Linked DNA regions of Styela clava. The protein of the gene in region 2 interacts with the protein of the main gene of each other region in a pairwise test. Links are inferred from orthologs where the notes say so. Each region holds a gene or a part of one and is shown on either strand. Other genes may lie near its edges.

Region 1 (16,484 bases), on a different chromosome or scaffold from region 2:
AATTTCGGATGCCAATTGCTTTAGTTCTTCTATTAAGGAATGGGATGATGTAGAATAAATGTTAAAATACATGCCTTTTATTAAATGACTGTTAGCCGAGGGTTGGAGGTAGTAGATGACATAGATTATAGAAGATGCTCCGCTTCTTTGCTTTGATTTAGGAGATTGACTTGCCTCCGTCAGAAATCTGTCTTCGAGAGATTTCTGTTTCATTTGAATGGTGTCCAGGTTTTGCAGAATGCTGGTGTCTATAGAAACTGAACTAATTCCGTGTACTTTTGCCATTTTATTGGGTGTAGACTGACTGGCTATAGAACGTTAAATGGCGAAATCGACGATATGCTGATACAGTATTAAGATAACAAAGTCAGGTAGACTAGCGGCGCTTTAGCAACTCATTAATTGTACCAGCGAGAGAAGAGAAAATACGTCCGTCTCTCAACCCGTCAACTCTATTAGGGTATCTATTGTGGGTTTGCGAACCATCTTCAGAAAAAAGTCGCAAAATAATCACAACTTGGCCACCAATTAGTAACGAACACTGAAACTTACATATTGGACACGAAATAGACCTATAGATCATTTGTTAAATTGTTGTGTTTGTATTATTAGTATTCTCCTTGTTGTTGTATTTTTGTTTTAAAAAAAATCTCTTTTCCCTTTCGACTATTGGACCAATTGCTTTTTTGTTAAAGATTGTTGTTACCGCTAGAACAATGCTATTTATTTTATTCATTTCAAAAAAATTTCGGTTTTATGGGATTCGTTTTCAGTCGGAAGTTTGGTGGCGACATCATCAAAATTAAGAATGACGCTTTATGAGGGGGTTCCGCAATCGCATTTTGGCGATCTAGTTGTCAGGAAAGTTGGCGTTTCCTGAAGATAGACTACTAGGTAGGTACGAGTAAAATTTTAAACTCCAGTTGTGTCTCAAATCATCTGATATTTTGATTCACGTTGAGACTAGACGCATGGATCTTCATCGCCACACTCCTCTAGCACATATGAAAATCATATAACGCTATTTCGGACCTGTAAACAGATGAACAATTCTAGTTTTTTTTACTGTTAGCCGTGCCAAGCACGTCATATCTCTAACATTTTGTCTTTCGTGTACATATAGAATTGGTCTTTTGTTTCAGATGGAACACCAATTTCAATATTATTTTTTGTAGAACCCGAAAAAATAATCGAGGCTTGTTTAGTAAAGTGGTGCACAAAAAAGTAAACTAACAAAGAAGGAACAAAAAAAAATTTGAATTTAGACTGCAAAGCTGACATCTTTCTTTACACTATATATTAAAACATGATATCCTCGTACCAAGTTAAAGCCAATCTCAGTCATCAGAAGTATATGCAGATGAAATAAATTCCACCATGCTTTCTTCAAAATCAAATTATGACGTAGTCTCACAGGCAGGCCTGCCTAGCACAGTAATAGAAATAAACAGCTTCAGTATCGCTATCGAAATACCTGCAAAAGATGGTAATGTGAGGGACCAATGTTATGGTGCTGAAAATATTCTATCTGCAAAAGATGAAATAAATCACAATGTCAAAAATGTTCGTAAAAGTTGTCTTTTTACTGTTGGATGTGATTATTTTTGATGGGTAATACATATACGTGGTTTTTTATTGTTTTTATATTTTAAATGACACATATGGGGGCACCAGAGTATTCAGTGCTTATAGGGCACCAAAGGGGCATAATCCGCCTCTGACTATGACTCTCGCCGCGCGAAAGCGGTTCGAGCTATTTCTCGACGATCTGCAATAAATATGCTTGATGAGTAATGGACCTTTCCCCGAGCATCGACTTCCTTGTTTACTTCGTGACATTGGCCAATCAGCAAGATGTAAAAAGTGACCTAACTATGCTCCCTTTTCGCATCCGCTCAGACACTTTTTTCACTCAGACAGATTTTCAGTAGAGGTCGTGAAGACGTAAACATCACCTCGTTTACGCGTTTTTGAACTATATTCGTTGGTTTTCAGCTGTGTTTCGGAAATTTAAATATAAATCAGATAATTCAATGATCACTCTGTCTTTTTAGAAGTTTCAATTCAATTGCAGTAATAAAAATTAGTGTAGCAATAGCTGTGATAGACTAGGCTAAAAAAATTTACTGGTACTTTTGAAAAACAGATTGTTGTATGCGATGAATCATAATGATGGTTTGAAACAAATACCCCATTTTACAGGAGCCAACTCGCGAAATAACTCTTAAAATAAGTCCCGAAAATTTTGCAATAGTAAAGTATAGGAAGAATTTTTCGGGGGTCAAAGGTCGGGGTAAGGTCCATGATGAAAACTATTCCTTTATAGAATTGAAAACCACTTAAAATACCGTGTTCTGCGGTGGGATAGTGCAATGCGCCAGATTTCGGATATTTATTGGCCACCATGCGAACTCATCGATCGTTGTACTAGTACTATATTGTTGTTGACCCCTTGTATGGGAAAACGGCTTTTCTCGGCAACTAATGCACTAACCGGTTTCTAAATTCCAATACTTGAATATATTAAAACTTAGGGCAGATATCAGTTTTACATTTTTTTAATTTTCCTTAGTACCGCGGGCCGATTTGATGTCTTTTTTCAATTTATTGGAAGATATATTGAACAACGTGACACGAAGTGAACCTATGGAACCTCTCCATCAAATATTTACCTGTTTTATTTCAAATCACGGGGGGCCAGGGCATTTAATAACGGGAACGCGTTATTCCGCTTGTCCGGCTATATTTCAGAAAACTCGCTGCTCCGCTTAGGCATTACCTGATGCGCGACCTTCTTGTTCTGCTAATTTTGATGGGCAGTTATCAACTACCAGACCAAATCCGAGACAAATGTTAAGAAACATGGGACGCTGCTGAAAGTCAATTCACACTTTTCAGAGTTGAATGCTAATGGGGAAGGTCTCGCCAATGAGATAAAATCCACTCATTCCTGAAACACACGAACTAACAAAAACTGTTGTATTATTCCCAACATTACAATTAGGGTTAGTTCGGATACCTATAATTTTTATTATCTGGATGACGGATAATAATAATTTAAGCTCTGTAATCGTACCGATGTACAACGGAATAATAAAATGAAACATTTTTCGAAAATATTGTGTCCTAATTGTCTTTCATCGCCACCGCGAAGTTATTTTCTTCTATTTTAATCATATGTGAAGAATTATATTATTTCTACTTCATAGTTGAATTTGTTGAAAGTTTCTTTTTGTGTCTGGAGCCTCTTTTCTCATTTTGATCATTTCTGATCCTTCGCACCTTTCTATCAATTGCAATGAAATTTATTATTGTATTGTATATTATTTAGTGTTCTATATTATTTTGTGATTTCCTGCACGACGAAATAAACTTTGTGAATATATACCATAAGAGCATACATATAAATGAAATCATGGAAACAAAAAATCATGCATTTCGATTTTATTTCAGTGGGAGAAGTATCCCAAAAAAATATAATATAGGGGAGGGGGGGGGGGGAGAACAAAGTCCGTGAAGTGTATAAGAAAATACTAGTTTTGAAAATTAAATTTTGAACGAAATTTTTAATGACAAAGCGTAATGATGATTTTGAAAAAAAAAACGAACTAGTCAGAAATTTCTTCTAATTTGAAAACTTCACTTATTTAACATTTCACTGTAAATATTCTCACGTTTGTACTATTTAGGCCACGACTTGCAATCTTTTTCCATCCGAATACCCTTTAATTAACAGAGCCAAAACAATGCTGCACCAGTTTTTGAAAACTTCACTTACCACCCTAAATGAGTAAATGAAAAACATGACACGATGCAAAGTCTGTTAAATTAAACTTTGCATCTTGCAAACAAAGAGAGTTCCCTGGAAACCATGAATGTAATAACAGCACTTCCATCTCTTTTCAAATTTTTCGGTCGGATTTTACAAGCTAATTTTGTTTTCATCGCCGATCGTTTTCTTCCGCGTCGGGTGATTATTTGGGGAATTAAATTCGGCACAGTTTTAATTTGCTAAGAAGTTACATCTCGTGAAAAGTTACCCTTGTTGTAAATTCAGTAAATACAATTATTACGATATTTTGGCGATACAAAAGGCGCCTAAAATAGAGTTTTGCTTTATCTATCACTGGCTCATAAATCAAGTGTCGTGGTATTTTCGTTAGCATTTACTTCCTTATATTCCGTTAAAAATGTGTGTTTCAGAACTACTCTCTTAACGTTAGATAGATACGACGATAGATAACATACTGCGGCCATTTTAGTTCCGGGCGAAACCAATTATCGGCGTTGTATACCGTCGAGACTGAACCCGACTTTTCTCCCGAAAATGTTGATGTATGAGCTAATTAATATCTGCATTTATTGTACTAAATAAATTATACTCATGGGAATTGCAATAATAGCTCAAATTTGATAAATTTGCAAGATCGCAAAAATACGAAATTGGATTTATTCGTGCAGCTAACCACGTATTCTTATATCTAGAGTAGAAATGATTTTATTTTAACGTAACGTAAGTCGAGCTTTTCTATAACGCAAATACGCAATAATCACATTTGTTCTGCGTGTTTTGTGATGTAATGGCCAAGTTCACTCCAGCATTACACAGATGACTAAAGGCAGGGTAGTGTGGATATGAGTGATTAAATAAATGCTCTGAGACAGTGGTTCCCAAACTTTTAAGAGTTGCGACCCACTATTTATTACCACAGCTTATGGCGACCCATTTAACTTTTTAAGACATAACACAGAAATGGCTAATCATCGTAAAGCACCGTGTTACTTCGAAAATAAGACCTGGCCTGAAAATAAGACCTAATTTTAATTTCAAAAATGATTTTAATTAAACCCAACCCTTGAAATAAATTTAAAATGTGTGGCAGAGGGAAGGTTCAATGACCTGAGGTAAGTTGAAGATCACACTACTATTCAAGATTGTGTGATGTCACAATCACAATTATGATATTTGTCACTTGATTTTTGTATAGGAAATACAAATAAAAACAATGGATGTCGATTTTTGTATAATGTTTATTAAAAAATCTCGTGATTTTCTACAATGTAATTTCATTTTTGATAAATGAACTCAAAAGACATCTTCTAAAAAAACACCATAGGTTATTCTTCAGAGGAAAATAAATCTAAATCCTGTCTAAATTTCTAGGAAACACGATTGCTGTACAGTGTACAAAACTGCTATGCGTAAAAAAGACACATGGTTAGTCTTTGTGTAGCAATTTTTGTTCCATTGGGAAGATCGTAAAAAGGAAACTTTGACAGACTAGAATTTAAATTTAATTTGTTTTTTTGCAGGTTTACGTATTGGAGTCGTCACCGATCCTAATAACCAGTATAACGAGAATATCGGTCAGAGACCGAAGACTTATCAATCGAAAGTTAGGGGATCCCAAAACAGCGCTCTTACTCCATAGTGACACCTTGTGTCTCATCACTAATTAATTAATGGACCTTTCCCCGAGCATCGTTTTCCTTGTTTACTTCGTGACATTGGCCAATCAGCAAGATGCAAAAAGTGACGTAACAATGCCCCCTTTTCGCATCCGCTCAGACACTTTTCTCACTCAGACAGATTTTTAAGTATGGTTGTAAACATTACCTCGTTTCCGCGTTTTTCAACTCTATTCGTTAGTTTTCAGTTGTGTTTCGGAAACTTAAATATAAATCAGATAATTCAATGATCACTCTGTCTTCCTAGGAGTTTTAATTTGATTGCAGTAATAAAAATCAGTGTAGAAATAGCTGTGATAGACTAGCCTGAAATTCTTTACCGGTACTTTTAAAAGATTGTTGTATGCGATGAATCATAATGATGGTTTGAAACACATACCCCATTTTACAGGCGCCAACTCGCAAAAGCACCCTTAAAATACCCCTGAAAATTTTGCAATGGTAAAGTATAGAAAGAATTATCCGGGGGTCAAAGGTCCATAACTCGCTAATTATACAACATAATTCATCCAAAATCAATAGGCTTATGGTACGACATATAATGAATGCACATGCAAAATCTGGAGCAGATTCAATCTCGCTTTCGTGAGATATCGCGTGCATCTAACAGACAAATACCTATCAACATACTTACCGATTAAAATCGATAAGTAATAATTAATCAAAGCTTTCTACATCTTTTCACGACCCACTAAGATTCCGTTTGCGACCCACCAGTAGGTCGCGACCTATGGTTTGGGAACCACTGCTCTGAGTGGTTCCATCTAAAAATCACTAATGCGCATATGCATTATTTATACTTCTCTATTATCCGGTTAACCTTTACAATAATATCCAGATATCAAAATATCTCTCGGTTAACCGCTATCCGGATAATCCAACCCTAATTACAATTGCACAATTTTTTTTTCAGGATGCGATTATCACAAGGCAACCACAGTCATTCGTCAGCTTAGCAAGCCATACAGGAAGACCCAGTGAGTAAAGCTGGGAATTACAGGGGGAATACTTTAACCCTAAGCAGGATAAAATAAACCAGTTAACCGCAGTGTGACGTTTAAGCAGACTGGAAACTGATTCTGAACCTGTCATTTTTAAATTTTTGCGTAAAACTGAATCATTTCGGATAAAATTGTACATTGTAAAGGTACGTGGATGTCACTCAACGCTCAGGGGCGGGTGCCCCTCCCCCCCTTTTTATAACGTTAAAAAATTAAAACCGACGTTTTTCGGCCTCCGGACAGACCTAGGTTGTTACGGTCAGACTTGGCAATTAAAAATTTCAAGCCCCTTCGAAAATTCCTGGCTTCGCCCCTGATGACTTACAATTGTGGAGAAGATAATGATAACATAAGATTAATCAGATAACAAAGCTGTTTTCAGAACATTCCTGCAGTTTTATGTGTATCCAATTTTCTCAAGGTATCAGATGCAGATAAAAAATCTCACAGAAGAAGCGTTTTTTATCATTTAAATTTCAGCAATGGAAATATTTCCGTGTTGAAAGCGAAATTGTGTGGAAAAAGTTCAAAATTAGCATTAGCAACATATTTTCAGTAGCAATTTACTTCACATAGCTAAAAGATTCGTCGACAATATCTGAATATTTTACATTTTAAACTATTTTTATTATTGTGAATAGCAGATATCATTCATCTGACAAAACTCAAATCAATGGGCAGAATGAGATTTTTGTCCACTGGAATAACATGACATTCTATGACATCATAGGCAAAAAGTAATATCCTCAATATACTGCCAGAAAAAAAAAGTTGTTGCTGTTTTGCTCCCTGTTTACATATGAAAACAAAATGATAAATGTGAAAAGACATGTGATATGGTCAATGATCTAGAAGCAAACCCATGACACTGTGATGGCTACTAATATTGCAGTCCATGATGTGCACCACAAACTACTACATTTGAAACAATATTTTTATTTTTGCTGCGATTGTTGTATGAGTTTTGTTTGAAGAACTTCTGTAACCATTTGCTTATTTTGAAATTTTTGCTGCAAAATAGTTTGCAAAGACTCCATTTGTCGCTTCAAGTAATCAACTTTTCTATTAAAATATTCTTCAGCATCTTTTGTTTTCTTTTCAACATAATATCCTGTTCCAATATCAACCATGACATTTTCTGTTTCATTGAGATTTCCTGGGACATAGAGACAACCGGACATCGGCACCAAAATTTCTTTACCTTTTTCAGATTTCTGCAAAAGCTCCAAACATGATTTAGATTCTGCAAACTGGGATTGTGCAGATTTCAGTGATTGAAGACTGTTACTTAATATGTCAACTTCTTGCTGCATTTGCTCAACAAGATGTTTTAGTTCGTGTGTTGGCAATGCTGCCAAATTTATCTGCTGTGGAGCACTAGTCATAATTCCAGTTCCGCTATATATAAATAAGCAAGTAAATATTATTTTTTTGATCCTGTAAAATAAAACACAAGCCCCTGATTAGAGAGAAAATTTGGGTTTTAGAGACTGGTATCAGCAAGTAGTATAAAAAGTTAGAAGAGTAGATATAGCTCTGTTTAAGTTGAATTAACTTAGAAAGATTATGCTTTTACAATCATTGTGATACTTGCTCCATGCCAATCTCAATTCTCTTCTATTACACTTCTTGTAAAGAATTTTTGGTTCGTGTTGTGAACATGTACAAGGATTCTCATCATAAGTTGGATATTATACTTATTTTTAATCTGTATGCAATTTCTATGAGATCACTATAAAAGTGAATTGTTGACTAGGTGCTTATATTTGACACTAGGAAAATAGTTCAGTAACCAGTAGTTTATATTTTACCATACTGAAAATAGGCACAAACATACAAACTGCAATCAATTATAAACAGGCCATATTGCAGGGTGGAGGAAATGCGGAAAAACAGTAGGCTACTGGTTATCGAGCAGCGGCACCCATAAATAAGTCTAACACTATATTATAATGAAGAAAAAGTGGAACCAAGTATATGTATATTGAAAAAAAAAACACAAAATATCACGAAGCTATCTGCTATAACCAGCAGTCGTTCACTTCACCAAAAGAAAATACGACCTCGAGCACCACTAACTCGATAACCAAGGAGATGAAAGCAGTGAGCTATATAACAACAATACATTGTGATATGTGCATTGTCTAACAATGGGCAATAAACCTAAGATTGTGATGGTGCAGAGTTACAGTGGAACCCACAGTATGCTGAGGGTGACCACAACAGGATCACCAATGAATAGTTACATGATTATCTCTAGCCACAGCCACAAAACTGCATTAAGGATGTTTCGTTGTTGTATCAAAAAACATCTAAAATGGCTATGGAGCCAAAATCCAGTTCTAAGGTGAAATATTTAGTTTAGATGCAGCATGAATAATTTACCATAAATCCCAAAATAATATTGTCATATTGAAAATGGGTAATGTTTAAAAGGAGACAAGTCTGCAAGTGGAAGTCGATGCATTTTTTGGTAATATTCAAAGATTTCAATTGATTAGATTGGTAGTTTTTTGTTATAAATAAAACTGGTTAAAAGTATTCCTGGAATCAAGCATCTAATATGTTAAATTTACTTAATCTTGAATTGATTTGAATTATCTCAATAAACTCAAAAGTGCAATATATATCTGCAATATAGAGTCATTGCGGCGAATAAAAATTTTTTGTAGTTGAACAATGAACATGCATATTATATTGGCTTTATAAAAATCAAAACTTTTTAGTTACTTCAGTTTTTTATGATAGGATCTCAAACTGCTTCTCCTAAGTATCGCTTTTATTTTTCTGTTCTCAGTAGCGGCATACAACTCTCAGTTACCAATCAAGAATTTCATGTGGTAAAAATGAACTAAGATAAAGTTTGGCAATATATTTTGGGGGAAGTCTTATTAGCTTGTTTGAGACCCCAATTGTCATAAGACTGTAAGGGCAAGGCTGTCCAACGTAAAATAAAAAGTCAACAATTTCTTTGGTACTGGGACTTGTTGTCCTTTTATGTTAGTATTTTTTATCTAATGTTTGGGTTGAATAAGATTTCGGAAATGTCGTCACTGCGTATCCGTCAATAATTCAGATGAAATTGACTTAATTGCATTGCTGCATATTGGTCACAAATCAGCATATATAGGCTGTTCGTCCAGAAATCTTTGTAATGTTACTTCAATAAATACTTGTAATTGGTGTTTCAAATTTTACAGAACGGCCCACATAACCTGATATTCCCGCGACGCTCATTTAAACATTGCTACTGAAAAGTAATGAATAGAAACACTTTAACGCAAATATACCCCTCGATGTCGACGTGTTGTGTATGTTCTCGCGTGGTCGTCAGAAAACCGCAAGTGTCATGTCCACGACCCGTGTTACCAGATATTCGATAGTAAACTGCTATTCTGATATTCGAATAATTTGCCAGCCCTACTCAGTAACCAGAAAGCAATTATTAAATTGATTGATTTTTTTTGATAAACTTGCGTTTTATGTATTATGTAAATTACCTACACCAAAATCCGGACTTAGCTGTATTAATGTTTGGTACAAACGTTTGCGGCCCGCAACGAATTTTGTCACATGAAAGTGGCCCGCGAGGCAAAAAAGGTTGGGCAGGCCTGCTGTAAGAGATATGGTATGCCGATCTAGTCGCGCAGAACAAAATCAGTAGGAATTATATATCAAACAAAAAAAGCATTTAATCATGAAAATTACACTCAAATCAGACAAACATCACCGTACATTTTCAAATAATTGTCAGCAAGTGAACTTTGGACATTAACTTTTTATTCAAACTAGACTATGGTACATATGCAGCTATGGAAGTTTGTATACTACTGCTGTACTGTACGCAGAGGGACCGTACCATACCAGTATCCTAAACTACAAACAATAACTGCCACAGTAGCCAGTAGGTACCGTTATCACGAAAAGTTGTGCCTCACTTGGTGATCTACGGCAGGGCTACTCAACTATTTTTATCGAAGATCCGCATACAAAATTCAAAAATATTGGGGTCTTTCCAGAAATTAACTCATTCGGGCAATTCCACGGAACTAGGGACAAACTTGAAAAAAATAAAAGTGTCCAATCCCAAAGAAACAACCCATATTATCATGAAATATATCTTGGAGTTTTGTTAACTTAATTTATTTCACAACTATATTCGATAATAAAAAAAATGAAGCTTGTTGAAAGTAGGTGGGGCATTGACCTCAATTTCTAGCTTTTTGAGCCATTGGCACAAAACTTAAGTTTTAACCTAAATAATTCAAACACAAATGAACATGAATTATTTGCTATACTAGAGGGCTATCACCATTCTCAGGATACATTCAGTTTTGTATAATACTGCCCCTTGGTATCTGTGGGAGCAATTTACTGATATCGATTTTTTGGTAACGCAAGTAACGTTTTTTCGACATTTTTTACGGTTTGTAAAAAAATACTGAAATTCATTTTTTGCCAATATACCATCATCCTATGTACACACACACAGCCAATATGTGTGCATTTTAACTTACTATGATTGTATATATTAATTAATATTCAATGTCAAATTTTGTAACGCAAGTAACAATGTAACGCAAGTAACAATTGTAACGTAAGTAACAAAATCTTATAAATCAGACTCTAGTAATCAAAAAGATATAATATATGGAAAATTATGGTTTTAACATAAGTTATAAATAGATAGTTTATTTTGAATTATTATTTATATATTTCCTTATAGTTAATTTCAGAGAATACCTAATTTTTGGCACATCACTTAAACAAGTTAGAAGAAATAGGTTGCCACTGGCCACAATAAAATGCATGATATCTGGCAACCCTAAATTGTAGATATTATTTGTATATTGTGGTGGTGGAAACCTTACCGGTACACAAAGACCATTACCAGGTACATTACCCTGCACTTTTTGGCTATTTTAGATGTTTTTATCCCATTTATTGCAGTAAATTATATAGTCTAGAATCTAGATTCAGCTGTTGGGAGTTAGTCAAAAAGTACCAGTACCGAAAAAATGCCTTTGACTGCAGCAGAGCGACAGAAGCGGTTCAGGGAGAGACAAAAGGCAGAAGGGAAAATAGGAGAATTTAAGTTAAAACAGAAAGAATATGTACGGAGAAGTAGAGAAAAGTCACGAAACAAGGAAAATAATTTATCTGTGAAAGAGCAAAATATGATTAAGCAAAAGCGAAGAAATGCAGTAAAGATGCGTGTTGCCAAACACAGGTTGATGAAAAAGCAGGCCAAAGAAAACCATGCTCCATTCAAGAGTGCTTTGGCATTTGCAAAGGCTTCTGCAAGGGCAAAGCGAATGATGCGTACTGCACTGCCTAGTACTCCAAATAGACAAAAGGCAGTAGTTCGAAAACTATATTGGGAAATTTTGGATAAAGAACAACAGGGCAATCCATCAACTGATAGAAAACGTCGTACCGGTATATTAGAATCTACAGTTAATGCTGTTGCAGATTTTTATAGGCGAGACGATATCAGCCGGCAAGCACCTGGAAAAAAGGATGTGATATCAATAAAAAAAGATGGGTTTACAGAAAGGCTACAAACACGTCATTTAACATCTAGCATCGCAGAAGTATATCAACTTTTTCGTGATGAATTCCCGCATTTAAAAATAGGACGAAGTAAGTTTGCAGAACTTAGACCAAAAAATGTGTTTTTAAGTTCCAGATTGCCTCATAATGTTTGCCTTTGCAAATATCATGAGAATTTTATTTGTGCAATTAATTCTTTGCATAAAGTGATTCCGGAATTTCCATCGTATACCACAAATATTGTAAACACATTTGTCTGTGCTAGTCCAAATTTAGAATGCTGGAAAAATGAATGTATGCGATGCAAGGATGGTGCAGGATTTAAAATGAGTTGGGGTGCAGTACTGGAAGGTTTTGAAAATAAGTTTGTGAGCTGGTATGTGTGGGAGAATAGTGTCAGTGATTCTAGATTGAAAAAGGTTCAGGAGGAGGGTGATGTAAATGATCTTCTGGAGCATGTATATCAAATGTTACCGCAGTTTTTGGAACACTCGTATATTAAAAGGCAGCAGTCTATGCGTTACAAGTTAGATCGAGATAATACTTTATCAACTTCGGCATCGTACAGTAATAGTGAAGCATTAATTCAAATTGATTTTGCTGAAAATTATACTTGCGTTAACCAAGATGAGATACAGAGTGCACATTGGCAGCAACAGCAAATTAGTATTTTTACAGCTGCAGCGTGGTATGGGGGAAAAATTCATTCAATGGCAGTGGTGTCAGATTATCTTTGTCACTCAAAAGAAGCAGTAATTCCAATTCTGAGCAAAATTTTGTCCACATTACCTAGTTTTATCAAATCTGTCAAAATTTGGTCAGATGGTCCCAGCTCCCAATTCAAAAACAAATATATTTTAGCGTCTTTGCCGGCCTTGGAAAGTGTGCACAATATATCAATATCCTGGAATTTTTTTGCTACATCGCACGGTAAAGGTCCAGTCGATGGTATCGGTGGTTCAGTTAAAAGATATGTATGGAATCAAGTCCGATGCAGAAAACATCATGTCATTGATGCAAAATCTTTTACAGAAGCTACCATGGCAATACAAAATATAAAATGCATGGAAATTACGCGTGAGCAAATTAAAGAGATAAGCTATAAACTGGATTTAGAAAAAATTTTTGCTGAAGCCTCGTCTGTTCATGGTATAAGCAAAATTCACCACATGGAGGTTAAAAATGGTCAACTCCTCACATCATTTTTAACAGGAGATATTAATGTGGATGCAGCTGAAAGAAGTACGCAAGGCTCTAGTGTAAAAATAGGAGATTGGGTAGCTGTTCGCTACGAAGGAAATTTATACCCAGGTGAAGTTACTTGTATACAGAAGAACGAATTCAAGGTCTCGGTAATGGAGAGGGCTGGTAAGAACTGGAAATGGCCAATTACCCAAGATTCCATTTTCTATATGAACACAGACATAGTTGAACAACTGGAGAAGCCGATTCCAATCAACAATAGAGGGCACTATGTTATTGCGAACTTCAGTGAACTCGAGCATAGAGTAAAAGCTATTCTACATTAATTCGATTTTTTTACATTGTCTGCAATTTCATTTAACATAATATATTTTGTTATAATGTTACTACACGTAAAAGAACTGAAATGTTTAGCATATACCTCTTTCTGGCAATATAAATAAAAATAAACCCTGCTATAGTAAAAATATCAAATGCATTACCTTTGACTGTTTGTTAGTTTCATTCATTTTTTGTTTTATTTTTCATGTTATTGTTCTTTGCCAAGCAAATAGTTCTATATTGCTAGTTTGTTCTTAAAACACTATTTTATTTTCAGAATTTATCTTCTAATTATGGATTTATAATTTAAACATAGAAATTTAAAGAAATTAAATGTTAAATATTGACTAAATGTCAAACTTGGCAATAAACTAAAAATTGGACCATGATTGTAACGTAAGTAACGTAACGCAAGTAACGGACCATTTTTTGTTCCTTATGAAAATTTTAATATTCAAATGAAAGTTTTTCACATAATTTTTTGTGATTTTACATCTGAAATATAATCTCTTCGGACATGGGAAAAAGTAGTTAGTTAGTGGTATTATCTTGAGATGGGGAGCATGTCAAAGTTTTGTCCAAAAAACTAGTGTCCTTTTTCTGTAACGCAAGTAACGACGCTTCGCGACTCGTCTATGTGAAAGTAGTCCATAGTAGAGCCATTTTTATGGTGCCTATGTTACAAGCCCAGGGCCATATACAACTACAAACACTATGACTTGAATGCTTGTAATAGGCTTTTGGCCAAGTCAGTTTAAAATTTGCACAGATGTAACGAAAGTAACGCTGGAATTGCCCATTCCGGTCTTTTCAGAAATTATATTTCAGCATCCTTAAACATGCGCTTCCTTGGCTGGCTAATGATTATTAGTTAATCAAGATTGTTTATTATGGCGTTATAGTTCTTTTCATATATATTCAAATCTATAAAAGTGATTTAATAAAAGGAAACTTCAAAAGTGGGACTGATGATCCAAAATAAGAATTAGTCGCGGTCCGAATCGAATACCCAAAAGGTTCGAGGTGGTCCGTCAGTTGAGTAGGCCTGACCTACAGTAAGGTACGGTAATTGATGAGTTTTCATTATTGCTTGATAAGTAGGCTATGAGTTTCTTTTTCGTGTTGATTTTGATACATGCAATACTGTTTTCACTTGCAAGATACCGTAAGCGAACATCGTCACTATTATTGCAATATCATAATATGGTGATATGTAACTTTGGAACTTAACAATCTGACATTAGCACTTTAAACCGTACCGGTAATAGCCTATACAGCTATATGACTTTAGAACAATCTGACATTACCAGTAGCATTTTGAACCGATTTTGTACTACCGGTGGCGGTACTGTGGTATGAGTTCGGCTACATTGAGTGATATTGTTGTGGTACCGGTATGCTTACTTTTGTCATGAAAACAAGCAGTGATGAAAATAAACCTAAGTTACCGTACATATACTACAGTACGGTACTACGGTAAACACACACCTGCCATGGTCAGTTGCGGTACCGTTGACATGCAAATATAACGACAACCAGAACTTTACTCAATGTTGACATCTTGTGACTCTCCGCCATGTGCCTAGTTTTTTTTTGTCAACTAGAAAAAAGGAGCAAGAAAATTGCATTATAGTTGTTGTTGTATTAGTATCTTTCCACTTTTCTTAGGGCATCCTGAGGTACATTTTTAGGTTTGGTATTATTTGAGAAAACATCTTATGCAAGGACCAGTAATATTGCCAACCTATGAATTTACAAAGCTTACTGTAAATATTTGTGAATATGCCTTTGTTATTACTCCATAATCATCATAAAGGACGATAAAATAATTGATACATTGAGTGATATTGTTGTGGTACCGGTATGCTTACTTTTGTTATGAAAACAAGCAGTGATGGAAATAAACCTAAGTTACCGTACATATACTACAGTACGGTACTACGGTAAACACACACATGCCATGGTCAGTTGCGGTACCGTTGACATGCAAATATAACGACAACCAGAACTTTACTCAATGTTGACATCTTGTGACTCTCTGCCATGTGTCTAGTTTTTTTTTTGTCAACTAGAAAAAAGGAGCAAGAAAATTGCATTATAGTTGTTGTTGTATTAGTATCTTTCCACTTTTCTTAGGGCATCCTGAGGTACATTTTTAGGTTTGGTAATATTTGAGAAAACATCTTATGCAAGGACCAGTAATATTGCCAACCTATGAATTTACAAAGCTTACTGTGAATATTTGTGAATATGCCTTTATTATTACCCCATAATCATCATGAAGGACGATAAAATAATTGATAGAATTAAATAAATAAACTGATTACAGAATCAGAAAAATGAAAAAATAGGGTTCAAAACGTACATATTTTGGATTGAAAGGTGTTGTCAAGAGGAGTGACGCGTGGTTGACATTAAGTTGATTAAAACACGCACGCATACACAGAATCACGCAGACAAACTAAGATGGGAGAGATATAAAAAAAAGAGTAACATAAGATATATAACTTCGTAAAAAGAAAAATATACAAACAAAATATAAAACTGAAAAAAAAAATTTGCCATAACGTATTGATAATTTTCTAAGTATAGCCAAATTGGATAACGAATTAGTTAACAGGAGTGAAACGTATAGGAAAAATATTTCTAAAAGAAAACCACTTCACCAAAGTGGGAATATAGCCAAATTAGAGTTCAGATTGTACCAAATATTATTAATCAGTATAAGTAATTAAAATTAATTAATGTATGGTACCGAGTTCGTACTTTCAGCATGTTGAAGAAATAAACTACTGATTACTGAGATAGGATAATGGCTGCAGTTCCCCAACTTTTTATTTGTGCGGCGTCAAATTATCAGGGAAAAAACTCACGGCGCACTCACACGAAAAAATGCTGCTTTTAAATACAAGAGAGCTACGCCCAAATATATGGACA
Region 2 (17,368 bases):
CCAGGTTAGGCCATAATTTGATTCCAATTTTCCTTATTTACGAGTTCGGGTACTAGCCAAGTGACTCCCGTAGTATTTGTACCTGAAATTATGGCATAACCTGATACACATACTATGTACCGCACATCATGGTTCACATACTACGAGAGTAACCATATACTATTTAAGAACAACAACAACATAATCTGCACCGCGATCCTAGATTATCAAACTATGGGTGAAATTCACAGCCACCGTTTTGTCGCTAAATTTCGGTGAAGGACCGCAGGGCCAGATTAATTCACTCCACAAGCTGGATATGGCCCACGGGTCGTAGGTTGCTGACCCCTTGACAAAGGGACTACCATTTCTGAGATCACCTAAATCTCTCCCGCGTTTGGCATTGCTTTTAATTCATCATATCCTGAGTGAGATGATTGTCACAGGATTTAAACTAGAGACATGTATTCTGCAATACCTACTGTACATAGCCAGTATGTTTCTCAGCTTTTTATTTTTTGGGGGGGGGGGGGGGGGGGTTGTTAAGAAATTTAGGGGGTGTTTAGCGAAAAAATTATTTGTAACTTATAAAAATGTGTCGTTTTTGGCAAATGATCTGCTCTACACTGTCATATTCTATATATTTAGATACAATTATACTTGAGTTAGGAATCAGAGTGGAATCGCACCTCAAAATTGTTCGAAATTTAGGAGGGGTGTTCACTTCCTGTAGGAAGGTGGTGGGAATATCACTGTACATAGCTAAGTCCAACTATTTTATTAAGCCAACTTCCTTCTCTTGTGAGAGGGGTGTGCAACTTTGAATGGTAGTTTTTAATTTAGTTCAACTGGTACGTGCAAATAATTCCAAACCTATACACGAGTCTAATATGCCTTGACGTTACAACGCCCTACTTCTTTGTGCCTGAAACTACTAGAAAGCCGATGTTAAATGAAACTGTGACACGCGGATTAACCCAGTGGATCTCCTGTATCAAAGGTTGCACACACCTGTCTTATGGGGAAAAACACAAAATCCAACTAGTTCCTACTAAGGCATTGTGTTGATAACCTCAAACATATTTGACATGCATACATTTTTTATTTATAAAACACAGCAAGTGAGGATTTTTATGAAAAGGCTGGATATCCTCAAAGCCTTAATAATTTTAGAAAGGAAACATAGCCCAGAGGCAAATGCTTCGAAAAAATCTTAAGACAATGGATGCTTCCCAGAGTCTCGATTTCCATGTTTATTTCCCTAACATCGACCAATCACCAATAAGTCAAGAATGACATGAGAATTGCATTTTAGCATCGTATTCGTGGTTTTGTGTGTTATCTGTTTTAATTCAGTTTCAAAAATTTGTTGTAAATCAAAAAACTTGAATTTCAGTCTTCCCATGAACTTCGGATTAGTTACAATAATCAAAAATTGGCTGCTAAAAGGCTTTAATAGACTCGCTATCAGTACTTGTTAGCGTCACATGGTTAAATGTTTTTAATAAAAAAGGTGGTCATGAACATGTAAACCAGTTTGTGAGCGCTCTCCGAAACACTATCAAAATAAGCAAAAAAATTTGGAATAGTGAAGTATAGGCTGAATTTTCCATGGTCAAAGGTCGGAGAAACATCCATGATTTTGATAAATTTAAAGACGCAATTATACATGGACAAGGACGGAAGTCCTCCTCACAATATTTCTAATATATAGACTTTGACCACATAGACCAGGGATAGGATAAGCTTTGAGCGCTCCATAAGAATGTGTACCAATATGGAGGTGACTAATTTTGTTCGCCGACTTTACATCAAGTTGTGTAAAGGGACTGATAGCTATGGGCAGGTCCCCGAACTCGTAATAAAACTGGAATATTGGAATAAAATTATGGCCTAACCTGGTACACATACTACAGGAGTACCAAACTTTGTTTCAGAGGTTAAATGTTTCAAGACGGGACGGACAATGTAGTTTGGAGTAATAATGTTGAAGTTTACAAACAAAATATTGGCATTACACTAATTAATTGAAATGTCAAATATTGATCAATTCACAAATAGCAGAAATCATTAAATTGAACTTTTTACTCAACAAAGATGCCAGCCGCCCCTTTATAAAGAGATTATGGTACTCCCATAGTATGTGTACCAGGTTAGGGTTAAGCTATAATTTTATTCCGATTTTCCTTATTTTACTTGAGACAAGGTTATATGAAAAATATGTTCAAATATTTGAAGAAATCTAAACTTCAGAGTCGTATATATAATCACTGCAAAACTAGGAAATCTTGAATGAATTCAAAAGCAGAAATTCCCGCACTCCAGCAGAAGTGTATGTACTATATGGAGGTAACTAATTTTGTTCGCCTACTTAACATCAAGTTGTGTAAAGGGACTGAAGCCTATGGGCAGAGACTATATTCACTTGGCTAACACAGACAGTCCCCGAATTCGGAAAAGAACTTAAATAAGGGAAATCGGGATAAAATTATAGTGCAACCTGGTACACATACTACGGGAGTGCCGAAATTCACAGGAATAGAATTTGAATTTTGTCATAGCTCAATTTAACAATGACTTCGATTACAATCAGTCTTTATTTGGCGGTTACTGTCCCTTGATTGAGGGATTTTCTCTTCATTACGTCCCAATTGTAAACCCGAGCCATGCTAACTTCTGTCGTTGTGCACTGGTCACGTAAATAATCTAAATCGTCGTTTACGGAATCAAGGTTTTTGACAGCAGTTTTTAAATTGTTGTTCAGAAGATCGTAAGCGTCTTCCACCGAGTAGTTGAGCATGACATTGGCCTGAAAAAGATTAGAGATTCGTTAAATGAAAGTCCATGCTTATGAAACAAATATCTGGCAACTAATCCCATACCCGACATGGGCTTGTAACCGGACGAGAGGCCGTGGTTCGCCATATGATTGAGCCGTCTTATCGATTTTCCTTTCCCCTGGGATAAACATGTAAATCTCATTTCAAATCAGTGCTCCCAAACGGGGAGGAATAAAAATATTTTGGGAGAAAAACTTTTCTTTGTGATTACGGGTAGCATTGCTAACATAGTTGGCTCAACACTCTTCCATACTAAAAAAATTTCTCTCTTTTGCCCATTTTGGAATTCCTCATTCCCTCCCTCCTTATGCATGAGACTACTTTATTTGTTTGGTCTTTAACCCTTTCCATTTTTATTTTTTATTAAATAATCGTATTTGCTACGCCGATTTTATGCATTTGTACCCCCACAACTAATCGATCAACTAACGAAAAACTAATGATCCTCTGCTGCCAACTGACGGCTCGTTGGAAAGCTTATTTAAAGAGCTTGCAATTGGCAAGTTTTTTTAAAAGTGGTCGTCTGAGTCACAAACCGGATATAAAAAAAAAGCCTTTTTTTTTTGCTTAGGAGTTGAAACTTCAAACCGTGATAAAAAATAGAAATATTTGCTAAATCCTAAATCCTTTGTGGTTGGCAAACAATAGCATAATATTGCTGTAGCAATTTCGTGATCTAACTCAAAATACTTTGGTAGATGGAAGGGATAATATGTCTTCTATTACCACCCAAAAAACACTGAAATTTGCATAAATTTCAAAAACACTCCCTCGTTCGCCGCAAATAAAATTCCCGGCGTAAACCAAAGCGAGATTTACCGTCGCTTATGTTAATCTCGAAGAAGACTTCTTATCAATAAACTAAAACCCGGAAAAACTAGACCAACAGTTTGCGACCCATTGCTAAATAAAACAGTGAAGTACATCAACGTACCCGCCGCAATCTAGTGACTTTTGTCGTGGGTACGTATACGTGCCCACCGCTCGGAATAGGTTAATGGATCATTATCTAGCTTTATACGCAATGCGCACTCCGCTTTTGTAAAGATTAAGTAGTTTATTATGTGTGCCCAGATCAGGGGTCGGCAAACTTTTGTCATTGGCGGGCCGTACATATTTTTAGAAATTTAAAATCCGAAGGAATGGCCAATGAATCACATTTTTTCACACAGATTTCAGTTAAATTTCAAGCAGTGCGAGAAGACTGATCATTTGAATATTTTTTGCGTCATTAAACCAATTGCATTCAGCATCAACTTTCTTTCGCTCTGTTGCCATTTGTCTAATTATAATCAATTATAGGCTCATTAAACTGAGTGATTGTGAATTATATACTTGTTAGGTTATAATACATTTTAGTGTCTCAAAACAAATTCTGTCACGTAAAGAATATAATCGTCAATACAGCTGTTTTGTTAATATAATTCAGTGAAGCGTCGCGGGCCGGATTATAATATTGCTCCGAGCGGATCCGGCCCACGGGCCGTAGTTTGCCGACCCCTGGCCCAGATGATTATTACAGAAATAACGAGAATATCGGTCGGAGGCCGAATACTTATCGATCGAAACTGCGATTTCGATTCATAACTCTATAGCGACACCACGTGTCCCATCACTAATAAATCAATAACTCGCTAATTATACGACATAATTCATCCAAAATAGATAGGCTTCTGGTCCGAGATATGATGAATGCACATGCAAAATTCGGAGCAAATTCAACCTCGCCTTCTTGAGATATCGCGTTCATCTAACAGACAGGCAAATACCTATCGACATACTTTAGGCTTCTCGTCAGAGACATGATGAATGCACATGCAAAATTTGGAGCAGATTCAACCTCGCCTTCTTGAGATATCGCGTTCATCTAACAGACAAGCAAATACCTGTATGTCGATAAGTAATAAAAACCCACCATAACCCTCCCAGATAAACATGCAAGCTATATACTTACTCCAAGCCATAGGCAGACATCCTTTGTGGGTGGTATTGTTGCTTTTGCTCTGAGAGAACCAGAAAGTAGGAAATGAGTTTCCATTGATTCATCTTTGTCCTGTAAATCAGTGAATTTTTATTGAAATAACACTTAAACGAGAATATCGGTTGGAAACCGAAGACTTATCGATCGATAGTTAGGGGATCCCCCAAAACACAAACTGCAGTTTCGATTCATCCGCTCTTGTAACTTGCGCACTGCGCATCGCACACACACACACTCGGGGGGTCTCAAAATTCTCTCGCTTTACAAAAATCTAGATCACTATATCAATAATTGATTGATAACTCGCTAATTATACGACATAATTCGCCAAAATCAATAGGATTCTGGTCCGAGATAAGATGAATGCACATGCAAAATCTGGAGCAGATTCAATCTTGCTTTCGTGAGATATCGCATGCATCTAACAGACAAACATACAGACATACAAATACGTATCAACATACTTACCGATTAAAATCGATAAGTAATAAAGCTTTATATCAGTGTTTCCCAATCAGGGACTTATCTTCTTGAATGCGGATATTTAGTTATTATTTGCGCTTGGTATTACTTGGTATTGCGCTTGTTATTTTCGGCTTGCTTATTCATCAAGTCCAACATCCGAAAACAAATAACTTCAAAACGGATTAGGCAAGGATGCATTAAAAAGCCTTCCAGTAGTTTTCTGTATTTCAGTGTTTGTCCTTCGCGACCCACTCATTGGGAAACACTGGCCATCACCCCAACTCAGCGGGGGGCCACATCATGCTAAAATTGCTGATTACCCTACATGGGTTCGCAGGTAAGAATCCAATGTGACGATACTTCTAAGGGTGATCAACGTGCCCGCTGGTCGGTTACAGCTTCCTTCATCATCAAGTCCATGCCTCCGAAAACAAATAACTACCTAACTAAACCCATACCTGTCATGAAATGGTACCCGGACGAGAGATCATAGGTCGCCATATGATTTAGCCTTCTTATCGTCTTTTCTCTCCCAAAAAATAAATATATTTAAATCTTATTCTAACTTACAATAAAAATTAATTTTGGGGAAATAACAGGAAAGTCCAAAATGAAGATCTCACTTTAATATCATTCAAATGCTTCACAATATCTAAAGTTGTTTTGATCTCAGGAATCTGATTCTTCAATTTCTCTTTCTTATGATTCAACGACATCTCCATCATCTTGTATTTCTGGTAACGTTCCTCAAGTTTTTTCAAAGCCCCCTGAAATAATCAAGAAATGGATAATTGAGCGTGCTGTAATACCTTTGAAGTGGAGGGGAGGTCATAGCACAGTGACATATCTCTGTTATGTTCGCATGATGGAAATTAATGGGATTATCATTTTACTTACACGCAAAACCAAAAAAAGGCAATGTTTACAACCACGTTTGAATATCTGTCTGAGCGAAAGAAGTGTCTGAGTGGCGACATAAATTCCAATTGTTATGTCATTGTTAACTTATGGCTGATTTGTAATTGTTACGGGAATAAACAAGGAAATCAGAAACGGTTATAATACACCCAATAGAAGTACTATGGGTACGAAACTACACGAGAGCCGAGTTCATAGAGTTCTTGCTACAGTCAGACAGTATCTGCTATCGTGCGCAATCAGTGAATGAATCCACTAACATAAATGCGGAGAGAGTGGTAGTAAGATAGGTGTCAGTTCAATCAACCATACAACCATAGCTTACTGTTACCTGTGCTGAGGAATCAGGCTCTTCTGCCATGAATTTGTCTACATCTTCCTAAAAACAAAAGAGCAATGTTTAAATAAAGGTCATGGATGTAAAATCTGAAAATGGTCAGGTGATAGGATTAATATATTTGTCCCAGAAGAGAAGAAAGTTAAAAAGACGGCTCAATCATTTGGCGAACCACAGCCTTTGGCGAGATTACCAGTCCATGTCGGGTATGGGGTTAGTTAGTCAGTTATTTGTTTTCAGATGGACTTGATGGTGGAGGAAGGCAGGACCAGCCAACCAGCCAGCGATTACGTGAACCCCCCATGCTGCCACGGAGTGAGGAGTCCAGCAATTCTCTCGCACAGAATTATTACCACAGGGTAATTAGAGCTGCTGTGACGAGCGTATTTTTAACACTTAGCATGATGCCCACACGGTCGAGCTGAGTCAATTTTTCAGCCTGGGCAATAAGCTAACTTAACGCAAGATAAACAGGATGTCTTGATTCCTTGCCATCATATGGGCAGTTCACATAACTACTGGCAGACTGGTCAGGTATGGCTTCTTCCACCAGCCACCCCATGCATCTGAAACTAATACCGGCAACTGGCAGAATGCCAGTCTGGATTTCATGGCCTTTTCGAACGAGAAATCGGGCGTGCAATCAGAAATTCCCGCGTGCAAATAAGAATTTCTGGCGTGCAATTATAGCTCACGGCGTGCAAAACAACTGCGCCCGCTAAACTGATTTCGAACTAAGATACCTCTCAATACATCCGCGTAAAAATAAGTTGGATCATAGCAAAAATGGACGTTTGACCTTTGACCCCCAAAACATCATTTCTATATTTTGTCACTAATTTTGAGAGTGTTTGAGCGACTTTAGATACCGGTACTGTTCAGTACATCCGTGTAAAATTATTGTATTAAAAATACGCTGAATCAGAGCCATAACTGGCCAGCGTCGGTGAGGAGGCGATTTTTCTCACGGGATTCCTATCATTCAACACGATATGGTGATTTTTGCTTCGCATTTTTCGATCAGGCCAAATCTTGCAAGCAAGTATTAGTCGACAATTGTAAAGTTATAATTTTTTGGCATCTTTATATTACTAGATTATTGATTTAAAAACTATTTCAACCGATTTACATTGATGAGCAATTGCAAATTTTCGGCGTGCAAAATTGAATTCGCTCGCGTGCATTTTTGTGGAGCGCTAGCGCCCTCGGGCGTGCATCTGCCATGGAATCCAGTCTGGGCAGAATGAACTGGTAATGCAGTAATGGGACAAGAGACAATTTAAGAATTTGTTTTGTGTTTACAACTTTTGTAATTTAGTTTGAAGGTCTACCAGTCTCTAAGTTGGCAAAATTTGTTTCAAAACGTTACTAGTCCAGCAGTCTGTAAACTGTATGAATTGAGAACCGCAGAACCAGATCAATATTTTTTTAACGTTAATGGATCACGTTATGACTTATCGACCTTTAGATCGGTAAGTATGTTGATGTTAAGGTATGTTAAGGTATTTGTCTGTCTGTCTGTTAGATGCACGCGATATCTCACGAAGGTGTGGTTGAATCAGCTCCAAATTTTGCATGTGCGTTCATCCTACCTCAGACCAAAAGTCTATAGATTTTGGATGAATTATGTCGTATAATTAGCGACTTATTAATTAATTAGTGAGGGGACACTCGATGTCACTATAAGGTCATGAATCGAATCCGCAGTTTCGATCGATATGTCTTTGGTCTCTGACCGATATTCTCGTCTGATTATTATGTTAGGATAGGATTTACATATTTATCCCGGGAGAGAGGAAAGCCGATAAGACGGCTTATCTATATGGCGAACCACGGCCTCTCGTCCGATTACCATTCCAAGTCGGGTATGGGATTAGTTTTACTGTATTGTTTGTTTTCGGAAGCATGGACTTGGTGGTGGAGGAAGCCGTAACCGACCAGCGGTTACGTGAACCACCCAACGACGGCAAGGATAGGATAGGATTTACATATTTATCCCGGGGGAGAGGAAAGCCGATAAGACGGCTTATCCATATGGCGAACCACGGCCTCTCGTCCGGTTACCATTCCAAGTCGGGTATGGGATTAGTTTTTACTGTATTGTTTGTTTTCGGAAGCATGGACTTGGTGGTGGAGGAAGCCGTAACCGACCAGCGGTTATGTGAACCACCCAACGACGGCGAGGAGTCCAGCAATCCTCTCGCACATAACCATCCCTGCATGGGATTCGAACCTGCGAACCCACGCAGAGTAATTAGAGGTGCGGTGGCGAGCGTATTCCTAACGCGTAGCCCGTTGAGCCACACCGCCGCGCCGGACAGACACTGCTGCACTGAGACCTGGAGACAGGCAAACTTATGACTTACCACAAACTCTGCCTCCGGAATCCCTAGGTGAGCTTTCTTAGTTTCAGTCGCCATATTTAACTAGCCTTTGAAAACTTCCAATGTTCAAGTTCGTTTCCTAGTTTTCGACAAATCCAATAATAGCAAAACAGCCCAAAATGAAGACAATTTCTGACCGAAACTACCAAAAGGAATGGTCGGGACTTGTGAAGTCGCTATAACGACGAATCGTTGACCCAGTCATGCGTTTCGCGACCAAAAATAGTCATTTCAGCGAATGCCATAAAAAATCGTTTCGAATGATAAAAAAATACTATTTCTTAAAAAAATCATTTAGGATTTATTAGAGAAACATTTTTGTATCTGCCTAAAGCTATAGTTCAGGTACCTAGTTTAAAGTCCAGTTGACGAGTGAGTTGTTTTCACCTACATTCTATTTCACAAGATGAAATGGTCTATGTAGTATCTTTATGTCTCATTTTCCGAACTTCATTTAGAGATTTGACAACTTTCTTAAATTTCCGTCCTGCGTGTTTGTCCTATGAGCTGTTACATTTTGCGCCATGGACCTGTTCAAAATGAAATATATTAAGAGATAGCTGATCTTGACTGACTAAACTGATATTGCAACTAATGTAAAACTCCTCGGGAGACAGTCTGAATACATATATACTTGAATTTAGCAAACACAACTAAAAACTAACAAAAAGGTTAGAAAACCGCGGAACTGTGCCAATCTTTTCTTCTGTCCGCGTGAAAAAAGGTTGGAGAAAAATCAATTGTTACATCACCGTCAACCAATTGCTTATTGGCCATTATTTCGGAAATAACCAAAGGAGCCAGAAGCATCTGTTGTGAAAGCCACGCTGTAAGCTGGATGTTTGTGATAGCCATTATTCAGGCTAGAAATGATGAAAAAATTCGGGTAACAATTCTCTAGTTCATTTACAATGTCGTTAGAGGTTTGAATGTTTAATCGGATACAACACTGCCTGCGACGCAAGCTGTTTATTCAAGTAGGCTACCGGCAACATACGTTTCATTTTTTCATCAGGTCAGGATCTTACTTCTATGGGTGAGTTTATATTTACTCGTGTATTGATTAGATAAATCATTTTTAACTCCGCCACAGTGCCTAGAATGACGGAACACCGGGCGAGGATTCGAAAACCTAAAGGAGGCCGTCCGACCGTATGATGTAAAAGCTGATGTCTTTACAGTCTATCGTTTTAGTTAGTTCGGCTCGGCCAACAAGTCCTTGTGTCTGAAAACAGAAAATAACTGGCAAACTAATCCCATACCCGACATTGATTGGTAACCGGACGAGTGGCCGTGGTAGGGCTTCCCTCTCCCCGGGGTCAAATATGTAAAATCCTTTCCTATCCTAGCTAGATGTATGGGTTTGGTTGGAAGCCGTTACCGAACCACACTGTAAAGACAAAGAGTCCAGAAACCCTCGCGCACTCGAACATTATCAACCTTTACCCGGAAGCGTCATTTTCACTTCATTTTACATGCTGTTTGTACAAAACGCGTTTTTTGTGTGGTACGAGTGATCATGATCACCCCGGTGGGATTCGGACCAGCGAATCCCGCAGGGCAATTATTCATTGATTAATATCAAAGGCCGGCATATAAATTACCATTATCGCCCGAAAACTCGCCTCTGCGAGATTAGACAGTAGCAATCAGGTGTTGGAGTCGTATGTAAGTTGATTTGTGCAAAACGTAACTTCGGCAAAAGTAATTCGATCTGTAATTACCAAGTGTCAGTACTGTCAGTCAGTACTCAGTGTTACTTTGCATGCTGAGATTCGCTGACGTAGATGTCAGAAGATGCTTGCTAACACGGAAGTTAGTGACGTTCTTCGATTCAAACTTAATTCAACTCACTCTCAAATTTTCGTTTGAAACGTTGTCGAGTAGCTAGCTAGCTTGTAGGAATTGTCGATATGTCCAGAGTAGGGCTGGACGAATCTTCGAATGACGAATGGAATATTCAATAACAACAAATATTATAAGGTTAATTTGTCATTCCCATAACTAATTACATTCAATCTGTGCAATTCGCAAGCTGTGGAGCCTATGAGAGAATTTAAACGAATTACGCGTCCCCAGGAATTTAAATAATAACAACGTAATAATATATTGCAACGTATAGCTTTTTACATTATGCAATGGATCTAATTACAAGCATGTTCGTCTATTATTTGAAATGTTTTACAATTGCTATCAATGGCCTTCTAGATTTTAGTATAATTAGTATATCCATATCGCTTTATTTATTTATTGTATGTACTCGCTGTTTGATTAAGGTATGTCTTGTTTTGTCTTAAATTTCCATTAAACAGCAGACTGCCCTTTCGCTCTGGATTAGAAAGTAAACAGGAAAGGCCTGCTGCTAAATAACGAAAATATATATCTGCTTAGGAATTAAATGCCTCTTGTTATTGAGCGGAACGTTCTCGGAATCATTCGAACGCCAGTTTCTTGTACCAAAACTCAGCTTTGCCCCGCTCTGTCACTGACGGAGTTGATGAAAGTTATGTTAATGTGACAAAAATTTGAATGTAAAAACGTATGAGTCTTAGACACGTGGCACTCAAAGTTCGGAAAATCTTCTCACATAGCGCAACCTGGGTGAAATAGATATCGGCTTCAAGTAATAGATCAGAAGTCATAAATGAAAGAAACGACACCAAAATTACTTTGTTTTGGAGTATCGCGCTCTTGTTCAATGATATATTTGTGCCGCAACCTCCTACGGCAGACGAAGAATGTACTTGATCGTGAATTCAAAAGCATTCAACTTTTATATCAAACCCGCGTAAGAGGAAAGCTGATAAGACGACTAAATCACATGGTGAGCTACGAACTTTCGTCCGGATACCAGTCATGGGACAACCCGTCATAAACCTCTTTCGTCAATTTATAACACAACACGTACGCTAAACATGACCATTTTAAAATTGCTATTTAATTCAAGAAACTTTTAGAACTTAAGAGAATAAAGTAAAAATATGATAATAGAATCTCATAATGACATTACAACCAGAAATATACTTTGCCTAAATAGGCTATAAGTGATAGGGTGTCGGTGACACGCTCGATCGAGGTTTCGAACTAGAATAAAAAAAATATAATTATAGCTATAATTGGGTTAGACTTCAAGTTAGGAATGTCCTGCCATTTTTTGCGGCATATATCATGATTTTTCTTTAAAAAAGATCAGTTTAGATAATTTGTGATTGAAATTAATTCATTGAATACTAGACTAATCTGATGGCTCGGAAGAATAAAACTGTGTTTGCGTCGTAGGTTATAGATCTTACGTTCAAACCCCATGTCTACCCCCTCATCCAAAGAGTGTGGGCCCGTGGCCCCTAACCTTTTATTGGTCGTGCTCTCCTTCTGGAGGGGTTTAGCTCTCATGGTCCGTCCCCCTGTTTATCATTCCAATGGCATTTAAAGTATTATTTTAATTGGTAGGTTCCAAATCCTATTAACTTCAAACAAATCATGCTCAACAAAGTGAAAATACTCTGTGAAATAACATTACCAAGTAATGAAACTAATGAACCGGGGTTTTTTTTTTGAGGAAAATATAAAACAGGTTTTACGCCTAGCATTATAGCCGCCTTAAGGTTGCCACGGGCCAGGTTGACCGCTGATGTAGGCCAAACCGGAAAAAATAAGTAATTCAAAACAATAATAAATTTTTGCGCATCACAATTGACCGAATGTATACAAAGTAAAGCGTGAAAAATTTTCATAAAAATGTAGGTCAATATTCGGGTCGGATTGATTCGATCATAAAAGTGCTTCGTCATTGATAAATAATTTTAGTTTAGCAAGTCTTAAAATTGTGTCTTACAGAGTCACACAACTCTTTTATGAATGAAAAATACTGTACAGAATAATCAATGCTGAATGAAAATCAAAGGCCTATTTTGCGAAGAAAAAATAAATGATTTGATAATAAACATAGGATATGGAGTATGTGGTGAAAGTATTATTGATAGCAAGCCATGAAACGTCAGTAAGATTCTTATATTAATACATAAATATCGGTAAGGAACATGGGTATGTTAAAAATTCGAAAAAATTTAACCATAAATATTAAAACGAAAACTGTGTCACAAGGTCTATAAAATACACAAAATCATAGAATAATTTTTATTCGCATATATAATAATAAAATTAAAGTTAAAACAAAAAATGGTTTTCATCGACGAATTTTGCTAAGTAAACGAGATGAAAAAAAAATCGATGTCCGGACAATTTCTCCCAGAAATTTCTAAAACCAGTGACATTATTCAGAAAATTATTAGCAACTCCTGAATTATGTGAACCAAGATGGCGGACAACGGAACGTAGTATGTGTACCAAGTTAGGGTTAGAACATACTTTTATTCTAATTTTCTATATTTTAGTTCTATTACGAGTTCGGGGACTAGCCAAGTGACTCTCATAGTATTTGTACCTGGAATTATGACCTAGCTCTAACCTGGTACACATACTACATTCCGGTGTCCGCCATTTTGGTTCACATACTTCGGGAGCACCGCAAATTAATTTGAAAGTCTTTTAATATAGGTTAGGGTTGGATTTGTCGGGGAGAAATATTCCATAAGTGAACTATATGAGGGAAAAATTTTCCTAGTTCAAAAAATATTTGATGAAATGAATACATATAGATATGCTGGTTAATCTAACATAACATGAAAACAGAAAATGCATTTTTATTATATACAGATAGAAGTGTTTGCTTTTAAAGCTAATATATATCTCTAAACACGGCATAGATAAATTTAGTTATATTTAAGCATGGGGTTACAGTAATAGTTCTCAAACGGTGGTGCCCGCCACACAAGGTGAACGTAGACAATTTTTTAGGGGCGGGAAGTTGATTAAATAAAAAAATATTTGTTAGCTTTGATCTTATTTTGGATATTCACGTTCCATAACTTACCGCTCTTCTCGGTAATTACTGGACAATTGCTTTGAACTTTTCAGTGGTTAAAGATTTTATTTTTGGCTTGAAGGCTATTTATTACTTTTATTTGATTCAAAATTTTTTTGGGCTCTATGGAATTCGTTTTATTTTGTGCGATGACGTCATCTGAAATTGCGCACCTTGTGTCGGTTCCGCGTTTGCCTTAGTCGTGAAGATTGCCGCACAGGTAGTCTACTGTGACAGATTGCATACTCGTACTACTTTGTTTTGGCTTTCGTGCCCATATACTTGAACATCGCTTTCTTGTTTCAATTCATGGTAACACTTTTATCACCTTTTCTACACTTTATTCACCCACGCTTGTCCGCCGATGCTCAGCTAAGACAGTACCGGTACCGATTCTCGTGTCCATATTTTTGTGCATTGCTCTTTCTTAATTTTGGGTTATGGGTATCGTTTAGGTTTATTGTTTTAAACTTTGCTACAGTTCTGTACCGTAATCTTTCAAGATATTTTCAATACTTCTTGAATACTTCTTTTGTTTGATTAAAGAACTGACTGGGGAATTCACCGGAAAAGCATAATCGTCATAATCGCTACCATTGTTGGATAACGAATCCTCTGTAATAGGGAAAAATCCAATATTATCTGAACGACTTAACGCCAATTTCGGAGAACTTTTGTAATGGGGAATCCTGTATGATGTATGACCACGTGTACTTGGGATGTCACGGTTGGGTGAGATTGCAACCTTAGTGACGTCACGATGCTGACAGTCCCAAGGAATTGAATACTCGTTGTCGTCTGGTAAAGATATGATTTCTCCTCGTCGTGACGTTCTTTTTCGCTCGTCCCATCTTGACGGGGAGTCTTCAGATTTCGATTTCACAAAAGTGGTTGTTGGTAATTTGGGGGCATATTTTGAGGAGGATCTTTTAAGTGAAGTTCCGGGGGGGTAAGTGGGGGTAGCGGGGTTTGAAGATGGTTTAGGTGTCATTCTGTGTTGTAACGGGCTGTTTTTAATTGAATGGGGTTGTTTTCTGGGGTTGAATTGCGCAATCGCTTTATTAGTAGTCAATTGTTGCGTAGGAGAAGACGACCGTCGCCCCATTAATGCGACATTTGTCGCTGAAATCGAGCGGCTGCCTGATATGAGTGGACTCGGTCTATGTGGAGTGTGAGGGGTGGTGGGGGGAGTATGAAATACATTACGAACCGGTGATAATGATTCATTTCTTCGTGAAATAGGCGGAGAGTATACTTTTTGGACCCTTTCGCCATCTGGCGGTGGCGTGTGAAAACCATCATTCATATGAATGGGGCTTGTAAAAGGTGTGCTTTCGTTACTTGGGTATTTCCCTTCTGAACGATTCAATCTTTTCCTGGGGGAAGTCGGGAGAAGTTCACTCGAAGCAACACTGCTCCATGTGCCCATGTCCGAATCAGAAGGAACACTGCGTTTGATATTGTGTGAGCTATGGGATTGTTGAGATTGCTTACTTTCTGATGTATTTTCCAAATTCTCTCGTTCGGACATTCGTCTTTCAATCTCTTTAATAATGTCTTCAGCGTCTGTTTTTTCGTCGACCTGAATGTCATCGAGATTCAAATCTTCATCTGAACTTTTCATTTCAATTTCCAAAAGTTTTTCATGAACAACCAATTTTGGTTTTGGTGGTATAACATACCTTTGCGAATCCCTTCTTTCTCGAGTAGATTTGAATTTCGACTCCACTGCCTCTCTTCCGTTTTTCTCAAATTTGCTTCTGTGTTTGTTTATTTTCCCTTCATTTGCCCCGCCAATCTCTGTATACCATTTCAATTCGCTCTCTGTTAAATGCATACTAGGCAATGAACTTCTTCGATGCTTTCGTGTTATTTTAGCGTATGCATCGATATCATTTGTGTCGTTTTTACCCAATTTTTTTTCTTTTTCAATTCCTGACTCGCTAATGGGCGGAGGAGATAGGTTAGTCTGTTGGTTATCATTGGAAGACGCAGGCGACAGTGGTAACGACACAGCAATATTATCTTTTTTAGTTTTTCTGTTTCTTCTCGGAGGAGGTATAGGGGGTGTAGGGTCTGACTGCTCTAAAATACGATTGAGCTCTTCTTCAGATGGAAATGAAAATTCTGTTCTGCGAACGATAGGTGGAGCCGTTTTCGGAATTTCAATTTCCTGATAGTCATGATAGCGTCGCCTCTTTTGAAATGGCAACGGAGAAGTAGTTTCCTTGACGACATTTTGGTTTGTTGCTGTCGTCGATTGTCCTTTCTCTGTTACGTCACTACTGTCTATATCTCTGTTTTTAGTTCCATCACAGTGGTGCTGATAAGTGTCATCTGCGTATAAGACGAATGCTGAATTCGGCCTAGATTTCGGTTTGCTGTTATTTTCACGCTGCCTTCTCTTGGTCACAGTATTGGCATCTCCAGTCTCACACAAATAAAGTAAAGTTTCAATAACCATTTCCAAATTGTCAGACTGCCTATGCCGCGGCCCAAGCTCTTTTTTCAATTTCGTTTTTAATTTTTCGCGTTCGAATCTCAAACGGCTCTCTGGCGACTCTAATGGCTTTTCCTTTTTCCTCGAACTCCGAACATTTTGCTTGTATTGATATAACACGTCAATTAGACTTCCATACTCGTTCGATAATTGTTTTTTCAGTGGAGGATGTGCACTTGAAGGTACTGAAGTTTCGTCAACGGTGCGCAAGTCGCTTGTCTTCAAAGGTGACATTTCGTCTGTTAACTTATCTATATGGTTTTGCCCGTCGGATTGAATCAAAATAGTCTGATTTTCGACGAAATCGTTAGATTTTTTAGACGTAACTTCTTGCGAAGGCGACAATATTTGATTCACGGGCCCGAGCGGCTCGGAAGGGATTGGTGGTACTACAGTGGGAAATGCTGGTATAGTCTTTCTTTCGCTTTGTTGATTGGTGTGTGCGAGAGACCCTTCTGGAGCAGAAAACCCCATCCGCGCGTTTCCGGAAGGGCGAGTGAACTGCCCAGGTACTTCCTGGGTCAAAGGTGACAGGTTGTGATGGTACGCAGATAATGCTTGTTCATTTGAAGTAACTGAATGCGGTGGTTGATGATGGTAGTCATGAATACGTTGCCTGTAATAACCTTCAGATGACCTTGGTCTCACCGGTATCGGTGCAAACTCATTTGTGTAATGTTCGATGTGGTCTATTGGTAAATTTGGTGCGGTATTTGAGTGTCTTGTGTGTTTTATATGATGTTGATTCTCTGGTAGTAAATCTTCCAACTTGCTTCCTTGACTTTGATACCTGAAATTAAAAAAAAATATGAAATTGTAATTAGATCGAGTCTAGAATAAGAAGGATTTAATATAAGATGAATAAGCCACACGAATATGCTTTTTGTTAGTAGTTGGTGGGTCGGTATGCGAATGTATTCTAGGGTAGCAAGAATCAAAACATTTGTATTGAGTGGTTCAAAGGTGTTGCATTTTATTTTCACAAGATTTATTCTGTAATATTTTCTCTGATCCAATTAAATAAATGACAGATCTATATT

Evidence for each region.
Region 1: the proteins of prefoldin subunit 3-like (region 2) and prefoldin subunit 5-like interact in binary tests that used the Drosophila melanogaster proteins (3 or more experiments, as listed by UniProt). The link is inferred for Styela clava from reciprocal best matches to the Drosophila melanogaster genes mgr and Pfdn5.

What each region holds. Positions count from the first base shown.
Region 1 is NC_135260.1:7,618,439-7,634,922, reverse strand, and holds prefoldin subunit 5-like, read right to left. Parts: upstream 7,939-16,484; 5' UTR 7,856-7,938; coding exon 7,406-7,855; 3' UTR 6,915-7,405; downstream 1-6,914. UniProt on the Drosophila melanogaster protein: Binds specifically to cytosolic chaperonin (c-CPN) and transfers target proteins to it. Binds to nascent polypeptide chain and promotes folding in an environment in which there are many competing pathways for nonnative proteins.
Region 2 is NC_135259.1:21,589,520-21,606,887, forward strand, and holds prefoldin subunit 3-like, read right to left. Parts: upstream 9,074-17,368; 5' UTR 8,941-9,073; coding exon 8,887-8,940; intron 6,563-8,886; coding exon 6,515-6,562; intron 6,033-6,514; coding exon 5,889-6,032; intron 4,873-5,888; coding exon 4,774-4,872; intron 2,789-4,773; coding exon 2,576-2,788; 3' UTR 1,065-2,575; downstream 1-1,064. Other genes in the region: uncharacterized protein LOC120338412, read right to left, coding at 14,304-17,118. UniProt on the Drosophila melanogaster protein: Binds specifically to cytosolic chaperonin (c-CPN) and transfers target proteins to it. Binds to nascent polypeptide chain and promotes folding in an environment in which there are many competing pathways for nonnative proteins.